2 linked regions of the Notamacropus eugenii genome follow. The protein of the gene in region 1 binds, or shares a complex with, the protein of each later gene. Links are inferred from orthologs where the notes say so. Each region holds a gene or a part of one and is shown in the gene's direction. Other genes may lie near its edges. The genes, in order: BBS7 and ARL6.

Region 1 (11,142 bases):
AAGCTATAGGAAAGTACTTAAAATACTATACACTGTGACCAAGTTGGATTATACCAGGATTCTAAATTTTGAAAACTACAAACCTAATAACCCTTCCTAAACTTAAAAAAAAGTCACATGATTATATCTACAACCAGAATTCAAATTGCTATTATGAGATTTATAGTCTTTCTCCACCTGGGAAGAGACACGATCTATTCTGTGGTTTATACTGGACTGAGTGAGGTGAAGCCAAAGAAGTCTCTCTGGTCTCTAGAGTCACTTCACCAGTTGTAACCACCTGGCTGGCATCATGCAGTCCAGTACTGCCAAAATTCCTCATTAGATCCCTGCTTCCTGAACTGTGGATAAACTATAAATCCCATAACAGTCTAAGTCCAAGTCTTGCATCCACAGAAGCAGAAAAGACTTTCTAACAAACTGTCATATTAATTACTTTAACAACAACAAAAATCCTAAAAAGCACAGGAATAAACGGACCTTTCCTTAATATAGCAAATAGTATCTTTGAACAGTCATTGTTCAAAGTTGGGGTTGCCATTGTAATAAAAATGATATTAGCAAATGAAATGTATTCAATCGATGCCATACCATACCATAGAACCGGGAAAATAATAAATTCCTTTAGAAAGGAACAAAAACTGAAGAATCTAAAGGCAAATAATGAAAAAAAAGTGGGAAAAAAGCAGGCGTAGACATTCCAGATCACAACTTTACTAGAAAACAGTAATCATAAAAACTACAGGGAATGAGTTAAAACTAGGAAAAATGATTAAATTGGGCAGATTGGGTACACAAGACCCCAAGACAATTGAACATGGTAGCATAGTGCTCAATAAATCCCAAAAGGCCAATTACTGTGATAAGGACTTAACTATTCAACAAAAACTGCTAGGAAAATTGGAAAGCAGTCAAGCTGCAAGAAGATTTAAGCCAACTTGTTATAGCACAATCATGATAAGTTCCAGATGGATATACAGAACCTAGATTTGAAAGATCACATAATAAAATAATTAGAGGAATAGGGAAAGAGATCGCTTTCACTATTATATGTAAAGCAATAGCTCTGGACCAAGTAAGAGGGATAGAGAAGATCACAAGAGATAAAATGGACCATTTTTATTGCATAAAACTGAAAAGCTTCAGCACACACAAAACCATTATAATCAAAATTAGCTATGGAACAATTAAAAAGGTTGAAATCTTGTTTTTCTGGTAAAGAGTTTTTCTTCACATTAACATTTGTTTTAACGGTCTGAAAATTCTGTGACAGATTTTTGGTCAAGATGTTTCCATTTAAAAATTATGGATTTTAAAAATGAATAACTCAAAACTGCCATGAAACAAATGTCTAGGAAAAAAACCCCAACATTCCTTTCTTCCTAAAGCTTTTATGATGTGTTGTAATCATTAACCAGGCTTTTACCATTAAATGTTAATGGCCAATTGAGACAAACGGTTCTGAGACACTAATTGAGACTGGGGTGGCTGCTGTTGTACCAAATATTCATTTAGCCTTTGAGTCTCGTGGGAAGATTTAGTGACCTGGCCAGCTGGAGCAGCCATCTTGTCAGCTGCCTTGATGACACCAGCTACAATGGTCTGCCTCACATCGTGACCAGCGAAAACGACCTGGAGGAGGACCACCAGGGAAGCTTTCCACACTTGGGATTGCCTGGAACCCTGTCTGTAATGGCAGCATCACACATTTCAGGAATTTGGGGATGTTTTCCAGCTTCTTACCACAACAGTGATTCATTTTCTCTTTCAGTTCAGTCTTGCAACGATGCAAACTGTGTGACAATCTGCAAGAGGGATGTACTGGCCTTGATGGGACAACGGTGTGGGTGGTGAAGCCAATAGTTTCCATTGCTGGCCCATTTTTGCTATCACCAACAACATTACCATGATGGACATCTTTGATAGGCACATTTTTTTTTTTTGGTAAATTATTTTTTTCCAGTTACATGTAAAGATAGTTTTCAATATTCTTTTTTATAAGATTTTGAGCTCCACATTTTTCTCCCTTCCTCTCTCATCTCCCCAAGACAGCAAACAGTCCAATATAGGTTATACATGTGCACTTCCCGACAGAGGAACTCTAGATGAGCTGTGTGATGAGGCATATGCAGCTTTGGATGTGGCTATGGGTGAATTCGTGTTGTTTTACTATATGTATTTATTACAAGAGGATTTGTTTGTTTTTAATTTGGGGGAGATAAAGGGGAGGAAAGGGGCATGATGATGATGATGATGATGATGATGATATAAAAAAAGAAAAGAAAAAGTTTATTGAAACATTTTAAGAAAAAGGAGGGAATGTAAGAAAGTTAAGAGGGCCACTAACAAATAGAAGAATTTTGAAATGAATACACTGAATCCATTACATACTTTTAAAAACTGTATGTAATACAGTTTTGTAGTTTCAGAAGCACTCCTGTTCTTTCTATATGGAAATATTGGTGTTGGTGAAGTGCAAAATAACATAAAAATTTTTTTTAAAGAATAAAGTATTTTGTTGTTCAGCTGTGGCCCCATTTGGGGTTTTCTTGGCAAAGATACTGGAGGGGTTTGCCATTTCCCTTTCCAGCTCGTTTGACAGATGAGGAAACTGAGGCAAACAGGGTTAAGTGACTTACCCAGGATCACATAGTTAGCGTCTGAGGCTGGCTTTGAATGTAAGTCTTCCTGACTCCGGGTCCCATGCTCTATCTATTGTGTCACTTAGCTGCCCAGTAAAGGAGTTGGGATAGAACACTAGACTGTGACCCAGAGAGCAGCCTTCCTGATGAGGAGAGAAAGGCCCCAAAATGATATCAATAAGGATCCAGAAAGGATGATATAAATTTAAGATGGGAAAGGGTTATTCTTGAGTGAAGGTGGTAGGAATCTGCACTACAATGAGAGTATGTGAAATGAGGCCATGGGTCTGGATGACCTTTCCAGTTCCTTCTAGTTTTGAATCTATGATCCTAAGCCAGAGGTGGAGAACCCCTGAAAAAAAGGATTTGTTCTATAAAACAGGGACTCAGTCAAAAGGCTGCACTCAAGGACCTAGAGGGCCACAGCTGATCTCACCCCTGTCCTAAGCCCTTCTGATAAACAGAACCCTGCTTTCTTTGTCTCCATGAGGAATAATTTAGATCAGAAGAAACTTGATCCTCTCTGGCCCTAAGGAAAAGAAAAAGAAGGAATAAATGAAATCTAAAGACATTCCCATTTTAAAATAATTTCAATTTTCTTCTCCACCAGGATTTTTAAATTAAATTTTTAGTTTTATTTTTATTATTTTATTGATGATTATTTATTAATGCTAAGAATAAGAAGCAAAACAAATTGCAATTTCACCTCCCTTAGGCTTCAGGTATGTGATATAAAAGTGATCATCCAGAGTTGGAGTTTCCATGTGCTGGGGAACAAGGACAAAATTTAATACGATCACCTCCACTCTGTTCATTATCTCCCATCTATCTTGAATGTAGCTTGTTTTTATGTGGTTATTCCCATGTGGTCTGCCCCATTAGACTGTGAGCTCCTCTTACCTTTATTTATACCTTAGCACAGTGCCCAGCACACAGTAGGTACTCAATATTTTTGGAGAGCATCTCTACAGTTTAGTAGGAGGATAACTGTGACACAGAATAAGCCAGGAAAAGGGCCTCCTGCTTTACTATTTCCAATGATCCATGACCTCATTGATGTGAGCATTCCCACAACCAGTGGAGATGGCATCCCATCCATGTCTTCCAAGCTGGCAATTCTTAGGCCTGTTCTCTCCTAAATCTTCTATATGGGATCCACCCAAAGTGCTAAACCTTTCTCTAGGGTGTTTAAACTTCTAGCTGGTTCAGTGCTCCAAAGACCATCCTTTGGTCAGCCTTGACCTCTACAGCATTGAAAGACCTCAATTTCCCATCATGCATTTCCTCAGTGATAAACCTTGTGTCTCATCCTGATTCTTTACATGGCCCCTACACTCGCTCCATCACTCTGGCACATAACAGGTGGTTAATAAATACTTATGGGATTTAGTTGAATTATCCAATCTAAAATAGTCGTGAGGCCACACGTTCACAGCCACACAGAAGCACCAAGCCTGAAAAGGATGGACTTTTTTTGGGGGGGGATCAGGGATTGCTAGATTTCTTTCTCCTGTAATAAGTGAATACGACACAATCACATGCTGTGAATGCTGTGAATTGGGGACCAAGTGCTTTCATCACTCCTCATCCCATAGATCTGGGTAAAGCCTTTCTATTTTGGGCACATCAGCCATTGTGTTGTTTTCCCTGTTTCTCATCCTTTGACACCTCCCCCTGTGTGTAGTCCCCAGAGCCTGGCTTTGTCTCCTCATCTTAGGAGATAAGGAGTTGCTGGATAGACTCTCCACCTTGAGCCGCTGCTGGAGTGCCTAAACAGCCCCAGCTGCTTTTCCAGGCCCTTTCCCATTATTCTCTTCTGTTGTTTTCCTCTAACCCAGGACTCTGGGCCGGGAAAACCAGTTGAAGCCAGCATGATTTTCAGCTTTTCAATCTCTCCTTTCCCTCCCCTCATTTTCTTTGCTTGGTTGGACAGAATCAATGAGTGTTGGGGATTGGAGGCTGGGAAGAATCACTACTACAGCGGATGTATAGCTGAGGTCACAACCCTGAGAAGTTCATGCCTCTTGTCCTGAACCCACGGAGAGTTGACAGGAGGACAATGTTTGGGTTAATGCTGGCTCACCATTAACTCTTTAGATATTCATTGAGTTCATGTACCATTTCTTTTCTTGTGAGATCGGTTTTAATTATTTCATTATTGGCATACAATTCCTTTCTTTTCCAGTCTGGTTTAGAGAAAGTATCTTTTCTGCCATTTTGCTGGTGCTGTCTTCCCAGTTTATGGTCAAAGACCCTTCTCAAGTCTGCCACTCTGGTATGGTAGAGGAAAGAAAGACAAGATTTGGTTTGGAGTCCCAGGATCTCGGTCCAAGTCCAGGCTTTGGTACTTATTACCTCCATGAATTTGGGCAAATCACTTAAAATTGAAGAAGTTGTCCTTGCTCTAAGGTTCCTTCCAGCTTTCAATCTATGATCTATGGTCTCTCTGGTCTCTGCCACTCTATGCTCTAAGGCCCTACCTCATTACTTTTTTTTCCCAACAAAATATGAACCAAGTTTCTCAGCTGAAAGAGTGGAGACTCATGGGAGGTTTGAGGAGGGATAAGAAGGTTTGGAAGAGCCATTGTGTATTGGGAGACTGAATTAATTAGGGTGGTATAAAAGGATTGGGCCAACTAGGTGGTACAGTGGAGAGAATGCTGGGCTTGGAGTCAGGAACACTCATCGTCCTGAGTTCAAGCCTGGCCTCAGATACTTAATTAGGCATGACTCTTTGCAAGTCACTTAACCCTGTTTGCCTCAGTTTCCTCATCTGTAGAAGGAAATAGCAAACCATTTCAGTATCTTTGCAAGAAAACCCCAAATGAGGTCTTAAAGAGTTGGACATAACTGAATGATAACAAGAAAAGAATTGCTCTGCATAGGTAAGGGCCCAGCGAAGGTTATGTGAGATAAATCTGTAGAAACAGTTTCATCATTTTTTCCAGCTTCTTCCAACAGCACATGTGTAGGAATGAGCCAAGGCTGAGAATTGGTAGGGTAAGATTGGCAATAGGAGGAAAGGGACTCAAGGGAAGGGGGCATTATAGAGTTGAATTGCTCAAGGTGGGGCAAGGATGAGAGCACAGGTAGTGTAGGGGTGATGGTCTGGGATAGAACTGAAGGTTTGAGGGACTGAAGTCAGAGTGGAGGTGAAGAAGAGGGCTTTTGGTTTCAAAGTGCGGGGAGAGATGGAATTAACAAAATCTTGTGCTCTAATTGGGGAATTCCAGAGCTCGTGAACATGGAAGTGGTACATTTGTGGGTAACAGGATGGTTTTTTTGTGGAAAACAATAGCTACCAGGATTTTGATTAGACCCTCATTTTTCACCTAACTGCCTTGTTTGGGGATTTCTCTGATTGACTTTTCTACTCATTCTAGCTCATTCTTGGGAGAACCTCCTCGTCCTGTGAGAGCCCCTCAGCCTTGGATCCACCTCCTCTCCATCCTCCGCCCCTCTGACTGGAGGGTGGGGCCATGCCCCCCAAACGTCCAGGTAAGGAGGGAGGTCAGCTCAGACACTTGTCACCTGGCCCCGCCTTGGGGTCTTCTCCACCATCTTGGGTGTCTCCCCACCACGCCCTTCCCCCGTTGCAGCTCCCCCCCTAAGACTGCAAGCTCTTTGAGTCCAGCACGAGTTTGCTGTTTTTTCATATAGTACCCCGTACATTTTAATGCCCGATCGGTAGATATGGAGGCTGTACCTTAGCGAGAGCCAGAAGATGGAGGCAGTGGGAAAGGAAAAGATTAAAGGGAAAGCGAGTTTGTGGCCTAGTCTTGCTCAGGCATTTGCGCAGAGCCTGGCACACAGTAAGTGCTTAATAAGTGCTTGTGGTCTGACTAATTACCGGGGCTTAAGGATTCTCAGAAAACCCCTCCCATCCCTAGGAGAGGGGCGGAGCCAGTTTGGCGTCGCCGTCGTCATGGAAACGGTTCCCGGCTAAGGCCTTCCCTCCTTCTCCTGGGTGCCAGGGAGGCTGCGCGGGCTCCTGGGGGCGGATCCTCCGCCGTGACGCAGGACGAATCCCCGCCCTCTCCCCGCCCCACATCTTACCCGCTCTCCCATTGGCCCGAGTTAGGGGGCGGGGTTTCGTGCGCGGCTCCTCCGCTCGCGTCGGCGCCTCGCCCCTCCCACCTCGGCCACCGCCCCCACCATGGAGCTCACCCTGAACCGCTCCGACTATTTACAGGTGAGAGAAGCGCCCGGAACCGGCCTGACTGCGGGCCTGCCGGGGACGCGCCGCTGCTCACGGCCGCTCCCGGGCTCCGGCTCCGGCCGAGGCTGCGGCCCGAGAGGCGGGTCCTGCGGGGCTGTGAGCGACGGGCCGGGCCCGGGCCAACTCTCCCCCTCCCCCTCCCCGTCCCCCATCCCTCTTCCATCCTCCCCCTCCCCCATCCCTCCTCCCCCTCCTCCTCCCCTCCCCTCCTCCCCTCCCCTCCTCCCCTCCCCTCCTCTGTCCTCCATCCTCCCCCTTCCCCTCCCCTCCCCCATCCTGCCCCTCCCCCACCTCTCCTCCCCCATCCCTCCTCCCCCCTCCTCCCCCTCCTCCTCCCCTCCCCTCCCCTCCTCCCCTCCCCTCCTCCGTCCTCCATCCTCCCCCTTCCCCTCCCCTCCCCCATCCTGCCCCTCCCCCACCTCTCCTCCCCCATCCCTCCTCCCCCCTCCTCCCCCTCCTCCTCCCCTCCCCTCCCCTCCTCCCCTCCCCTCCTCCGTCCTCCATCCTCCTCCTTCCCCTCCCCTCCCCCATCCTGCCCCTCCCCCACCCCTCCCCCACCCCTCCCCCACCCCTCCTCCCCCTCCCTTCTCCCCCTCCCCCTCTCCTCATTCCTCTCTCTCCATCGTGCCCCTCCTCTCTCTTCCTCTCCCAGTCTCTCTCTCACCTTCCCAGGCTCCCATAGCTAGATCTAAAAGCAACCCACACATTTTACAGATGGGGAAACTGAGGCCCAAGAGAGGGCCGGGTGATGTGCTCGAGGGCACTATAGGTTCGGAGCTGGCAGGAGTCTTGTTTAAGAGCCCACTTAGTGCAGCCGGAGAGTCCCAGAGGCTGGGAGCTTCGGTGCCGTGCCAGGGTCCGGAGCGGAGCCAGGCTGCGCCCTGAGCACCGGCGCAGCTGGGGGGCTCGATAGGCGCATGGGCTGCTTGCTGCCTTCCCTCCCTCCCTCCCTCCTTCCTTCCTTCCTTCCTTCCCTCCTGCCCTCCTTCCTCCTTCCTTCCCTCCTTCCTTCCTTCCCTCCTTCCCTCCTTCCCTCCTTTCTTCCTTCCTTCCTTCCTTCCTTCCTTCCTTCCTTCCTTCCTTCCTTCCTTCTTTTCTTCCTTCCTTCCTTCCCTTCTTCCTTCCTTCCTTCCCTTCTTCCTTCCTTCCTTCCCTTCTTCCTTCCTTCCTTCCTTCCTTCCTTCTTTTCTTCCTTCCTTCCTTCCCTTCTTCCTTCCTTCCCTTCTTCCTTCCTTCCTTCCCTTCTTCCTTCCTTCCCTTCTTCCTTCCTTCCTTCCTTCTTTTCTTCCTTCCTTCCCTTCTTCCTTCCTTCCTTCCCTTCTTCCTTCCTTCCTTCCTTCCTTCCTTCCTTCCTTCCTTCCTTCCTTCCTTCCTTCCTTCCTTCCTTCCTTCCTTCCTTCCCCTACAGTTTCATCAGTGGAAGGAAGTCTCCATCAGGACACTTCCTTCACCAGTGCAGATCAGTAGGTGCCCTGTGGCTTACAGTCCTTGTCTGGAGCAGAGGTATCAAATGTGGAGCCAACAGCCCTTCCCCCAAAATAAGTAAAGCCACAATAGGACGTAGATAATGTGAATGCATGGTTTTCTAAATCAACATGTGGTCCTTGTGTTTAGTGGCCCCTCTTTCTGAGTTTGGTCCCCGCCTGGTGACCCAGCGGATAAAGCACTGGGCTTGGGATGAGGAAGACTCACATTCCTGAGTTCAGATCTGGCCCCAGATACTTAATAGCTCTTTCTCTGTTTGCCTCAAATGACCCTTCTGTCAAATGAGCTGAGGGAGGAAATGGCAAACCATTCCCGCATCTTCGCCAGTAAAACACCAAATGGAGTCATGAAGAATCAGACCCAACTGAAAACAGTTCATCAGCAACACAACTTGTCGCCTGCCCCAGATCACGTGGAGCTTGTAGGAATGAATGAATGAAGGAAGGAAGGAAGAATTTATTAAGCAACCTTAAATGAGCTAAGCCCTGAGGACAGGTCCAGAAAAGTAAGACAGTCTCTGCTCATGTTCTACTAGAGGTAGATAATAAACCTGACTTGAACCTGAGTATAAATCATGCCCCGATACATTCTTTGTGGCTCTATGTATCTTACTTCACCTTCTGTTGCCCCAACAGAAAATTAAACTGGCAAATTAAATTGGAGAGCAGATGCAAATCTGCATTAATGGTGGGGATTTCCCTATACCAATGGAAGGACCTTCCCCCCCCCCCCCACCAAAATGTGCCAGACCCTAAAGACAAAATGAAATTTCCTACCATCAGGGAGCTTACATCCTATAGGAGGGGAACACTGAGTACATAGAATATTAAGTATTAGATATATCCAGTGCATGTATTTTGGGGTGGGCCACTAGTGCTTGGTTGATTAGTTAGTCAACAAGCATTTTTTAAGTGCCTTCTATGTGCGGGTACTCTGCACAGCACTGGATATGCAGAGAAAGGCAGAAACCAGTCCCTGCCCTCAAGGAGCTCACAGTCATGGAAGAGACAGCATGCTAATGTTTCGATTATATACAAAGGAGCTGTAGAAAGTCTGTTGCAGACAGGCAGCAGAGGGAAGGCACTAATTCTAAGAGGCCTTGGGAAAGGATTCCCATAGAAGGTAGGGGTTTTGCTGGGAACTGAAGGGAGCCAGAAGAGGGAGATGAGGAGGGAGAGCATTCTAGGCCTTGGGGATAGACTTTGATAATGCCCAGGGGTGAGAGATGGGAGTGTCTGGTTCAGAGAACAGAATCCTAGGATCAAACAGTATGTTTAGGGAGTCATGTAAGAGGTACGAAGACTGGGAAGCTTGGATGGAGTAGGTTATGAAGGGCTTTCTGTAGGAGTGGTACTTGGGCTGAACTTTAAAGGAAACTTGGAACTCTAAGAGGTGGATGAGAGGTGCTTTTTAGGCCTGAAAGTCTGTAGAGGCATAGAGACAGGAGATGTGTGTTGTAAATGGGGAATGTTAAGACCAGCGTGGCACAATGTAGAGTTGTGAAGGAAAGTTAATGTATACTAAACCAGGAAACATAGCCATCCCAGAGTTACATGGGAGCCATTGCAGGTTCTTGAGCAGGGGGCTGACCTGATCAAACTTAGAAGGTCAGAAGGCCATTGTGGTAGCAGGTGAGAGGTGATGAGGACCTGAGTTAGGGTGGGGGTTGTAGCAATTGACACGATTTGAAAGCTGATTGGATACAAAAGGTGATAGAGAAGAGTCATTGATGATTCCGATGTTATGGATCTGGGTGACTGGAAGGATGGGGTGCTTTCAGCAGAAATAAAGAAGTTAGGGAGAAGGAAAGATGAGCTCAAAGAGGCTGAGTTTGAGATGCCTCCCCAGCAGCCAGTCAGAGATAGGCAGTATCCAGCAGGCCTGGCTGGTGAGTGCCTGGAGCTTGGGAGCGAGACAGGAGCTGGCCACATAGTTCTGGGTGTCATCTGCTCAGGGCTGATGAGATTACAGAAGGAGAGAAGGAAGGTGAGAGAAAAAAAGAGGGCAAAAGAATTACCTGCCTTCCCTGTCATCCAGAGTTAAGGTGAGGATCCAGTGCAGGGGAAAGACTTGGAAAAAAGTACATTTTATGGTGTTTGAACCTAAGAGTTTTATCAATTGAGTTGGTAATTGTCATCACTGTTCCTGATCAGTATCACCAATACGACCTCCTACTAACTCTTGCTCTACATTTCCAGGTTTGCAGAGATTTAAGAAAAATTACTTTGTTCAGGAAGAATCTGTGGATTATATTATTAGCCTGATTTTTTTTTAACAGAAAAGTTTTCTTGCTTTAGAAGTATTCTTCCCACAGTGTCGTAAGCTCGTGATCAATGTCCTCTACTTTGTAATTTAAAATAGAAGGTTTCTTATTTCCGGTTGAAGTTGTTGTGCCAACTTTAACAAATTTCGGCATGTCTTTAGGATTCGGATTATAATTTTGTCCCTGATGATATTGATGAGGATTTCATCGTAAACCATTTCATCACAGTTGAAATTTCCTTGCTGTGATCCTAGTTTGCTAAGTAAGAAACCTTCTGGCTTTTGTTTCCTAGGTGGGAGTGACCTCTCAGAAGACCATGAAGCTGCTCCCGGCATCTGGACGCAGAGCAACCCAGAAGGTGCCAATTCGTTCCCATACATGACTGTGTAGCAGCCTCTGCTCGTGGGCTTCTCTCTTGAATTTGACTTAATTGAGAAATTTATTGGGGAAGGGAAATTCAGTGTTTGGAAAATTGTGTTTTTAAAATACTTTCTTTCCCTTATTGATAAGGTTAGTCATTTTAAAGGTGCTTT
Region 2 (11,372 bases), on another chromosome or scaffold:
ATGACCCCTCACAACAGAGAGAAGTCTATGGACTGCTATTGCAAAGGCACTGATTCCTGGAGCCCAGTAGTAAATACCTGGACAACTTGACAAGGACTACATAATGAGAAAAGGACTTTCAGGAACCAAGATATTCCATTTCTGATCTTAGAAGTTTTGTTCCTCTTTAGGAAACTGAGTAGCCTCTCACCTTGTCTCCTTCTTCCAGGGGTGCCAGACAATGCAGACACCCAATCAGCTTTAGTCTTACTCTAATTCATAATTAATGAACTCAATCAATCCACCAGCCTCAGCCTCACCAGTAGCAGAGATTACAGACCTGTGTCACCAAGGTTGGCAATAGTTTTAATTATTAGGAATTTTTTCTGATATCAAACTAAATTTGCCTCTTCACAACTTCAAGTCATCATTTCTAGTTCTGCCTTCCAGGACCATAAAGACTAAGTCTTATCTGTCTTCCAAGTGACAGCCCTTCAAAAACTTGACAATATCAACCATGTTCTCCCTAAATCAGGAAAGGAATTAGGAGAGAAAGCAAATTGTAAGAGGTTGAGAAGGAATTTTTCCTGATGAAAAGACATTGAGCACTGAGCAATTTTTTTCCCCAAGAATTCTCCTATGAAGTAGAGCAGGAAGATAGAACAGTAGATGAATGGCATAGGGTCAAGGGAAGTCTTTATTATGATTGAGGAGATATAGACATGTTTACAGACAGATAGAAAGGAACCAGTGGTAAGGTTAAAATTGAAGATGCATAAAAGAGGGGATAATTGCTGGAAAAATGTTCTGAGATTGCAAACAATGGGATCAAAAGCATGGGCAAAGGGATAGTCTAAATTGGAAATATAAATGGGGGAAAGAGAAAAAAGATTAATGACACCAAGAGGGTTTGAGAAATGGATGAGGATTCTCCAAGAATATCATGTAGGATGGCTTCAATATTCTTAATGAAATAAATAGGTAAATCATTTGCTTTAAATGTGGAGACTGGAGGTGGGCTTGGCAGAAGAGAAGGGTTGGAACAGGCACTAGATGATGAAGTAAAAAGTCAGTAAGGGTAGAGGATTCTTGAGCAGCAGCAAGGGTACAGCTGAGATTATTTAACATGAATTAATTAGTGTGTAGAATGATTTCATTTATGTGATTTTCTCTAGTAATGCTAAGCAGCACTGGAGCAAGAGTGGAAGAATCAGATCGTGGAGATTAACTAAGGACAAGGATTCACAGGTTGGGTACAAGGGCAAGAATTTCTAGGATATTAAGAAATGAAACATTAAAATGGGAAACCATAGGGTCCAAACCTGGCATAGAGACATGCGAAATCTGGGTCAGGGGAAATGGATCTAGAAAATAGAATGGGAAAAAGAAAGAAAGAAGGATAAAAGTCATTATAAATGCAAAGAGTAGAATTATAAGAAATCAATTTAGAGCATGAAGTAACCTTAAAGGTCATTTAACCCAACCTCATCATTTACAGATGAGCAAGCTGAGGCCTATAAAAGAGTTAAGCACCTTGCCTAAGATCATACAAGTTCACATAGGTAGAGCCATAAGAAGAACCCCAGATTCTCTGACTCCAAATCCAATACTTTTTTTTTGCCACATATTGCTACCTCCAATTTTCTGTAAATGTGATTAGAAGAAGAAAAACAGAATTCTACAGTTAGAGAGTAGAATTTTTAAAAATTAATTTTAGAGGTGGTATAATTTCAAAAGAGTGAGATCTAAAACATCCCTGTGCAGGTATGTAACTGAAGCAACAGGGAAAAGAAAATTAAGTTGATGAATGTAAAGAACTGGGAGGTCAGTTTGTTAAAGGTGTTGTGAACATGAGCAGTAAATTTCCTAATGATTATGTTAGGGGATGGAATAGACTACAAAAGAAGCAAGGCCATTGTGGAATGATGATAGAAAAATGACTTAGAAGTGGGAGAGGGAAATAAAGAGTATGCTCACACCTTCTCCCACCTATGTAATCTGAGGGGAGTAGGAGAAGTTGCCATCAGTAGAATGGGATATAAGAAGTAGAGTCCTCAATAGGATAGTCAAATAAAGGTGAGGAGGTAGAAAGAATGCTGGTTATAATTTAAACAAATAAATCCACTTACTGGCCTGTCTGCATCTGTCTGTATTCATCCTTCGTTTTCAAAGAAGACCAGGACATCAGAGAAATGATGACATGACTTGCACTTGACTTTGTTTTGAGGGAGGGAGGGCTGTGCCAGATTACCAGCCTCACTTTCTCCTCCTGAGTCATCTGGATCCAGTGACCAGATATTCATCAGGATGACTGGAGGAGGCCCAGGATGTACTGGGAGACCTTGGCCTAATCAGGCACTCACTTAAAGTGAGGTAATGCCCATGAAGTGAATAGGCCTTCTTAAGAAGTAAACAGGCAATGGCTCCTTTAATGAGCAAAAGAAAAAAATAAGTAAATCCAGCTGGGAGGGCAAACACAATGTATAATAGACTGTGATAGGCACCAGCAGTATTTAAATACTCAGATGGATCTGTGATTTCATTGGTGTTGGTACCACTCCCAAAGATACGGACTATGATCATCCATGCCCTCTTACCCCATGAAACTTTCATGCATATCCTCCCATAAATCCTCCAAATTGGTTCCACCCTACATACTAGAGGGAAGGACTTTATCTACAGCTTTTGAATTTTTTTAATATCTGAGTTCTCTCCTCACTTCACTTTCTACCATTCACTGAAAAAGGGGGAAAAACATGAAAAATATGTATAAATAAGCAAAACAAATTCCTGCATTATCAGTGTTCAAAAAATGTGCTTTCATCTACACTATGAGTTTATCACCTTTCTATCTGGAGGTAGAGAGCATATTTTATCACAAATTCTCTGAACTATTGTTGGCTCCACTGTGTTGATCAGAGTTCCTAAGTCTCTCAAAGCTGTTTGTCTTCATAACTCTGTTGCTACTGTATGAATTTCTCCTGGCTTCTGCTCTACTCACAGGTTGTGGGATGTCCTTTGTTCTCAAAGAGGACTATGACATGCAATTGAATAGGATTTCAGTGAAGGAGGGCTGTTCAAAGTCACTGGCCTCATTTTCTCCTCCATTTATGTGTATGTATATGTATATATTTCATCTTTTGCTTTATAAAAATTCCTATCTTGCTTTCACTAAACTGCCGGTTCTTTCTTGGAGCTCAGCCCACTTGCCGAGATATGTAATTCTCAATAAATGCTTTTGCTTGGGTTGGAGATGGCCTGAGTCTGTGAATTCTTTCAAGATGACCTCACAATATACCACGAAACTAAAATATTTTTGGTAAACCTAGGTGGACAGTCTCTGATTTGGACCCCCCTTTAATCCAAGGTAAACCTTTCCCTTTCCCTTCTCTTAGCAGGGAGGTCCTTCAAGTACCTAGAAACACTTGACGAGATTGTTGGGACCTAGCACCCGTGGACCCTTGCAGCTGGCAAGTTTTTCTAGACAGAGGAAGGGAAGGTTTGGGAACTTTGTGGAGAAGTTATTTTTGAACTCATTTTTCTTCCTCTCTCTCTCGATGGGTCACTACTGAAGAGGTGAGCAGTGGCGATAGGGAGGATATCTTTAGGCCTTTGGCATTATAAAGACAATCCCCACCCCCAAACCACAGGACTCCCCACTGGGCAGTCTCCTGCAAAATGAGAACAAATTCGACTTACAAGATCTAAAAGGAGTCACCTCATATTTTTCTGTAATAGAGCCTGGCCTCAATGCAATCTAGAGGACCAAGAAAAGTGATTTGTGGAGGGGATTTCTAACAAGGCTCTCTGAGCTGGTGGACTTTCCCCTGCATCTCTGTGTCTGTGTGAAAATGTCTGTCTGCCTCCTTGTAAGATTTAAAATGCAGCCAGCCAGAAAAAGGAAAACCTGTAAGGGCTGTAGCTAGAGAGAAGCTAGAAAAAGATTGATGAGCTTTCTCATCACTTTGAAGTCATAGCTGAAAGTGTGAACAGAGGGTTTGCAAGTAAGGTTTGGAAAGCACTGGAAAGAAAACATGGTTGGTAAAAATTCTTTCTTTCTCTCTCTCTCTCTCTCTCTCTCTCTCTCTCTCTCTCTCTCTCTCTCTCTCTCTGTCTCTATCTCTCTCTCTCTCCCTCTCTCTCCCTCTCTCTCTCCTTCTGTCTTTCCCTCTCTCTCCCTCTCTCTCCTTCTTTCTTTCTCCCTGAATTCTGGCCAGATTCAGGGATGTGGAGGAACAGACAAGGAAAAAGAAAGGGGGAACCTTTTCCCTCAGATCTAAAAGAAAAAAGGTCATTTCACTGATCAAAGAGAGGAAGGTTTGGGGACAGTGCCAGTGAAAGTCACAAAGCTGTATTTAAACCTTTCCTGGATCACAGAAAGAGAAAAGGTTTGTGTGATACAGGATACCATCAAAGGCAATTGACTTTGACTGGAATATCTCAACTAGAATTTAGGGAGTCTTATAAACTAAAAGTAAGTACTGGTCAATTTTGAAATAATTTTTTAAAAAATCAGTATGTGTGTTAAAATTGGAAATTTTACTAAATTATATGACACTCCTATTCATTTTAAGAAATCATAGAGAGCTATGGAGGAATTAATAAGCTACGGGTTCCTTCCAAGATAGTAGAACACAGATTTGAACTAATTAAAACATGCTCTTAAGTATGATAGTTGGGGTAGATTAAATTGTTGTATCAGATTGCCCCTGGATTAGGTGGAAATAGTGGACCTCATAATATGAAAAGTTTAGAACAAGAAGCATTTGTGTAAAATATAATATTACAGTTAACATTAAAATCCTAACCTTAGATTCCACGTAATACCATTTGGAACATAGATCTGGGTAATACAATTAATTTTGGTCACAATTTAAGTGAAATAATGTTTTTCCTAATTTGATGTTTAAAATAAGTCAGAATTTATTATATTATTTGACACTAAAATAAGTTCATAGATCTGAAATTTGTTAGTTGGGTGACCTTAAGCAATAACACAATGCCCGGCAGAGGGCAGATATTATAAAATGTTACTATTATTATGAGTTCCTTAATTAGATGTGAACAGTAACAATTACAACGGCGGTAAGAAGCCCTACAGAAACCGCAAAAAGGGTAAGGAAATTGTATCCTAAAGACAACAATGAGCCACTGACAATTTTTTGAGAAACAGAATACTACGCTCAGATTTTTTTTTTTTTTTTTGATAGCTGTGTGAAGGTCAAGATTAAAGAGGGAAAAAAAAAACTAAAGAAATTGACATCATTTAGGATACAGTATCTGATCTGATGAGTAGGATGATACTAGTGTGAGTACTGAGAACAAGATGGACATAATGTATCCTAAAGTTAGAACGGGGGTTTTTACAATTTATTGGGTGAAGGAGAGGAAGGAGTCAAAAATGTCTCAAGCTTTAAACTGAAGTGACTGGATGAGGATGATGTCAACAGAAATAGGAATTTGGGAAAGGAGCAGATTTTGGAGGCAATGAATTCCTTTTTGGACATAGGTGTGAGTGACGTTTAGCCGAAGTTGGAGATGTGAAACTGGAGTCTGGAGGAAAGATTAGGGTGGCTCTTATAGACTGGGGAGCAGTAAATAGAAGGTTGGCTTCAGAGTCCGGAAGGTCTGGTGTCAAGCCCTGTCTCAGATAAATGCTGGCTGTGATCCTAGGAAAATGACTTCAACCCTCAGTGCCCCAAGTTATATACTTATATATAAAGTTATAAACTGCAGAGAGGCGGATGAGATAGCTAAGAATAAGGTATAATAAAGGGAGAAGGAAGCTTGCTTAATTAAGGACGGCTTGTATAAGCAGGAGACCTAGGACAGAGCGGCGTCCCTTCGGTGGCACCAGAACTTCGGGATCCTGAGCTAGACGAGGTTCTGTTCCCATAGCCCCAAGATGACGAAAGAGCTAGGAGGGGCTGGGCACTGCGGTGGCATCTCTTTTGTCCTTTAAAACAAAAACCAGGGGACTCGATCCGCGCCCCAGCCCATCCCACCCCCAACCTGGAGGAAAGGAAAGTGTCCAAGTTAAAACTTTACAAAGGAGCCTCGCTCAGAACGCGTGCTCTGCAGCCCAGCTTCAGGCCAGCCTGTCCTCCGAGGAGGCGCCTCAAGGTACAACAAACACCGAGACCCTATTCCATTTCAGTCCCTGCAGGGGGCCACCCACACAGACTCGGGGCTGCTCCAAGCAAAGGCAGCTAGCTTTGGGCGGGGCTCACGGGCAGTCCGAAAAGGACTACATTTCCCGTGAAGCTACGAGGCGGATGCCGTCATTCGCCACATCGGCCAGTTCCGGGCCAGAGCTACACTCGAAGGCGGAAAGGCTTCCTGCACGCTTCATCAGTCAGGCATGCGCACTCCCTCCCAACCCGCCCACCAAGGCCCGGGCGGGGAAAAGGCGGGCCGACCTTCTCCATCAAACTCCGCCCAGGCTGAGGGGATAGAGCCAATTCCCGTAAGAGGAAGAAGAAAGGAGGAGCCTGGGGAGGGCGGGGCCTAAGGGCCGGAAGAGGCCGCGGTTGCCTAGGGGACGTCAGCAGTACCGCTCGCTGCTCCGCTGCCTCCCGGGAGACTCTGCGGGCGCTTCGGTGTTCCCGACCTTCTTGCCCCGGGCGGATGAATCCCTCCGGCCGCCGGGCGGGTCCTCGTAGATGGGGTCGGAGCTGAGGAGGGGGTCCCTCGTGCCCCAGCCCGAGCCGCGCCGGGGTCCCGCTCCGCCCCCCGAGAGGAGGCCGAGTCTGGGGTGAGGGAAGGGGCTCCGCTGGTTCCGGAAGGTGAGTCAGTTAATGAGGGTGACCTCGTCCTTTTTGTCACGTGGGCCAGACCCACCCATGGACAACTCAGGTGTCCGCAGTGACCACGTCTGCCTTCATTTCTGCCGGGTCCAGACAGGCTCCTTCTCACGCCGGGAAGGGATGGCTTTTTTTTTTTTTTTTTGCTCTGGTCACCTAGGAAATAAAAAACAAAACGAAGAAAAATACAGGATGAATGCCCCCAGCTTGGGTTTCCCCCTTCCGCTTATAGAGTGATTTATGGGTATTCATTCCTGACACAGCAGCCAATCAGTTCACCTGCTGTTGCCAAAGAAACTTATTTTAAGAATTGTATTTCAGTAGGATTCATTTCCTTTGTAATCCTACATATTTTATTCTATGCATTTAAAGAATTATGCTAAAAAAACAGATTGCTAGAAAGCGTAAAACCAATACTACAAATGAAACGAGAAGATAAAAAAAATTATACCTAAATGGGAAAGAAGGCTCTAGGTTTTCTTTGCAAAGTCAAAGGAATGGTGGAGTTGATTTTCTTATGTATCCAAAGGCTGAAAGAGAGAGAATTTCATGGGTTATTTGATCATTTCCCCTTGCAGCAATCTTCATAAAAAAGATTACTGTGGAGAAAAGTTTATGTGCCCACACTTGTGACAGAGGATGAGAAAATTCTCCAAAGCATTGGAGGGGAGCACCCAAATTAAATTAACATATGCTTTACTTTTCAGTGACTTCAATGTGGTATTTTAATAATTTTCAAAAATATAACAGGATCAAGAAATGGCTTATGGACTACAGAAGAGTATCATTCTTTTTATGATATGTTGATTAATTTGTGGAGCATTTTTTTCTTCTCTTTTTCAATTATTATAAGATATGGATTTCTGGGAGGGGGTCAGTAGACATACAGTGGAGAAATGTAAGTGATGTAAAAATAAAAGATACCAATAAAACTTATTTCCACAATTCAAAATGGTTTATATTTCTACATTGGTATTGTTCTTAGAAGATTAAATGTTTGCTGGCTGAGACTTTTTCAAGACTCTTGGCCTCCTCTGCATGGCACTTTTCATGGTAAATACAGGCAGAGATCACTTGTGAGGTAGAACCAAGAAGGCAGAATAGTAGGAAGGAGTACAGTGAGTTCCTTCACCAAACTCCAGGAGTGGGTTCTTCTGAGCACTTTCAGTTCACAGAGACTATGTGTGAGGGCCAGAAGTGACCTCCACACCTATACCATAAGGTGACCTCATATAGTGACCTGGGGACAGGTATTAATTGGCAGGTTTGTTACCTAGTATCAGTTCTGGGTCACAAATCCAGAGTAGCCTGAGGAAGGAACCTATGGACAGAGAAGAGTGTCTGTTCTAGCCTCTAGAACAATTTGAAGCCTTTAGAGAAATAACCAGGCAGGAATCCTAGACTTTAAAGAAGCCTGCAGTTGTCACTGAAGTAGCAGAGCTTTCCAGCTACCTGACAGTTGACTTAGTCCAGCAGCAGTGAATTGTTGCTCATACTCAGATTCAAATCAGGAATTTTAAGCTCAGATGGGGGGAGGGTGGGGTAACCATCAGACTTTGCCCTGCACTTTGAAAGCATTGAAATTTGTCTAGAATAACACAGTTCTCACTACTCTCAAGAGAGCAACAATGGATTAAGTCCAGACTTTCCATCTGGTAGTGAGCAGAACCTGGCCCTCACATAAAGCCTGAAGTCAGAAGTAGGTTGAAAGAATGAGCAAAAAAAAAAAAAATGCTGCCATCCAAAACTGTTATGTGGTGACAGGGACTGAATACATAAACTCAGAAGAATAGAATGACCCCAAAACATCTTCAAGCAAAGTCTCAAAGAAAAATACACTTTGGGCACAAATTCAACTAGAATTTGTAGAAGAAAGGAAGCAAGAGTTTTAAAAAAAAGTTAATGTTTTTACAAATTAGATGAAATCTAATGCTGTTGTTTCAGAAAGCTTTAGAGTTTAGAGGAAAAACTGGGAAAGAAATGAGAGCTGTGGTAAAAATAATTGGAAAGTGAATTAACAATTTGATACAAAAGGTATAAAACCTTGCCAAAGCAGCATATGCTCCCTGAAAATGAAAATAGATAAGGAAAAACCAATTAGACAACAAAGAGTATGCCAAAATCAAAAGACATTTAGAACAAAATATTAGGTATCTCATAGCAAAAACAACTGCCTTGGAAAACAGTTCAATGAGACAAAAAACCATCAGATTCATTGAACAGTTTGAAAACCAGAACCAAAATAGTCTAAACATCATGTATCGAGAAATCTTAAAAGAAAATTGCCCCGAACTCCTAGAACCAAAGGGCAAAGTGGAAATAGAAAGAGTCTACCAGTCACCTTCTAAAAGAAACCTCAGGAATATAGTAGCTAAAATCTAGAGCTTCCAGGTAAACAAAAAAATGCTGCAAGTAGTCAGAAAGAATTCAAATATAAGGACTGTCAGAATCACACGTGATTTAGTAGCCACCCCTTCAGAATAGTGAAGAGCTTAGAATATAATATTCTGGAAGGGAAATGATATAATCCTACCCAGTAAAACTGAATATAATCTTGGGAGAAATGGACCTTTAATGAAAAGGAGGACTTTCTAGTATTCCTGACGAAAAGAACTGAATAGAAGCTTTGAAGTTCAAGCACAAAGAAGTTAAGAGAAACAAAAAAATAAACACAAATAAAAAATTATAAAGGATTTAACAGGGATAAACTGCTTACAATCTAAAACAGGGAGATGATATATGTATCCTCTTTGAATTCTGGGGCAGCTAAGTGTGCAACGGATAGAACTCTGGCCCTGGAATCAGGAAGCTACATACATCTTCCTGAGTTCAAGTCTGGCCTCATACACTAGCTATTGTGACCCTGGGCAAATCACTTAACCCTCTTTGCCTTAGTTTCCTCATCTGTAAAATCAGCTGGAGAAGGAAATGGCAGTATCTCTGCCAAGAAAACTTCAAATGGGGTCACAAAGAGTTGTACTTGACTGAAAATAACACAGCACAACTTTGAATCCTGTCATCAACAGTAGTCATAGAGAAAATCCAATTGGACAGAAATCCTGGAAGTGGTTCTTTTATATCTCATATCTGATCTTAAAAGAAGAATGGAAAGGGAGGGGAAGAGGAATACACAAGGGAAGGTGAAGAGAAGGAAAAGCAAGGAGAAATAATTGAGATGTGTCATCAAAAGTCTATACAAATAAAGAGGGAAGCAGTTTAGGGTACAGTTAACACTTGAACCTCATTCTTTTCTGAACTGGTCAAAGAAGGGAAGAATACATACACATTCACACAGCTGGGTAGAGAACTACATTTCACTCAACAGGGAAATTTGAAGGAGAGAGGGAATTAGAGGGGAAATGTGGAAAAATTAGTCCTAAGCAACTCACTAAAGTTATTTTCAAATACCTGTAGCTCTTTATGAAGTGACAACAAGAATCTGAAGGGTTGCCCATCACTTGTGGGATAGGCAAGTTATGGTATAGTATGTGAATGTGATGGGACCCTATTGTAGTATAAATAATTTAGCCAAATGTGAAATATAACTGAATGGTCATTTTCATCTTGGAAGAGGAAACTTGAATAGTATGTGCATAGTGAGGAAACATGACCTAATATACTACAGTGTATCTAAATTATCTCAAATGAATATATCTAAGTATCTTGTACTTTAATACCTCCACATGGAAAGAGTTTACATGGTCTTCATCTCTTAGTAAAAATTTGCTAACAATTCTAGGCAAGATGTGTCCCCTAACTTAAACCTGCTTTATTTACTTTGGTTCTCAGTAAAAATGAAGTACCTGATACTATCTGATAAACAAATTCACTCTCCTGCCCTTGGTTTTCAAATCTAATTAAATCTGTTTTATAAGTGATTTATTATCATATTAAATATTAGTACAACCCAAAATTGCCTTACAACTGTTTGTGCAATGAATTTGTTTGTCAAATGTTAGGACTTTTCAATTACTCTTTATAAGTAATTGTATAAGTATAATTATAAGTATAATTAATTAATATAAGTATACTTATTATACAATATACAATTGTATACAAGTGTACAGTTACTCTTTATAAGTAGTTGTATAAGTATAATTAATATAAGTACAATTAATTAAGTATAATGACTGTATAAGTAATTGTAATCCTTTATATGTGTGTCCATTCTTGTTTATTCTTGTGTCCTTTTATATGATCATAGTGTGCTCTGTTCCTTTAGATTTGTTTTTTTTCACTGTACATTATTTCATGAAGACTTCTCCATAATTTTTACATTCAGTTCCCTCATTGAATGTTTAGTTTGCTTCCAGTTTTATTTAAGTTTTTGTTTTTGTAATTTAAATAATGCTGCTCTAAAATTCTTTAAACAGATTTTGTGGTTGTTGATCCCATTCTCAGAGTATATTCCCCAAAATAGAATTATTGATATCATGACTTTCATTGTATGTTGCCATATTTTAAAAAACTATTGATTTGAGAGTCTACTGTCAATGTGTTTCTTTATCCACGATCCCACTAGAATTGTGTTTTGTTGTTTTTAATTATTTCTAACAATTTGATGGATGTGAGGTAATTCCTCAAGTTTGT

Evidence for each region.
Region 2: the proteins of BBS7 (region 1) and ARL6 are in contact, whole or in part, in a cryo-EM structure (PDB 6VBV), measured with the Bos taurus proteins. The link is inferred for Notamacropus eugenii from reciprocal best matches to the Homo sapiens genes BBS7 and ARL6. Residues at the interface, in NP_001178275.2 of Bos taurus: Leu3, Ile249, Val250, Gly251, Asp300, Gly301, Tyr302, Asp303, Thr319, Glu320, Pro321, His323, Lys324, Glu325, Ser326, Gly327, Pro328; in NP_001069250.1 of Bos taurus: Met132, Asp133, Arg135, Thr139, Ser140, Val141, Ser144, Trp157, His158, Ile159, Cys160, Ala161, Asp163, Lys166.

The regions. Positions count from the first base shown.
Region 1 is NC_092878.1:162,567,027-162,578,168, forward strand, and holds the start of BBS7 (BBSome complex member BBS7), read left to right. Parts: upstream 1-6,639; 5' UTR 6,640-6,798; coding exon 6,799-6,834; intron 6,835-10,901; coding exon 10,902-10,967; intron 10,968-11,142.
Region 2 is NC_092877.1:373,033,612-373,044,983, forward strand, and holds the start of ARL6 (ADP-ribosylation factor-like protein 6), read left to right. Parts: upstream 1-6,435; 5' UTR 6,436-6,764; intron 6,765-11,372. UniProt on the Homo sapiens protein: Involved in membrane protein trafficking at the base of the ciliary organelle. Mediates recruitment onto plasma membrane of the BBSome complex which would constitute a coat complex required for sorting of specific membrane proteins to the primary cilia.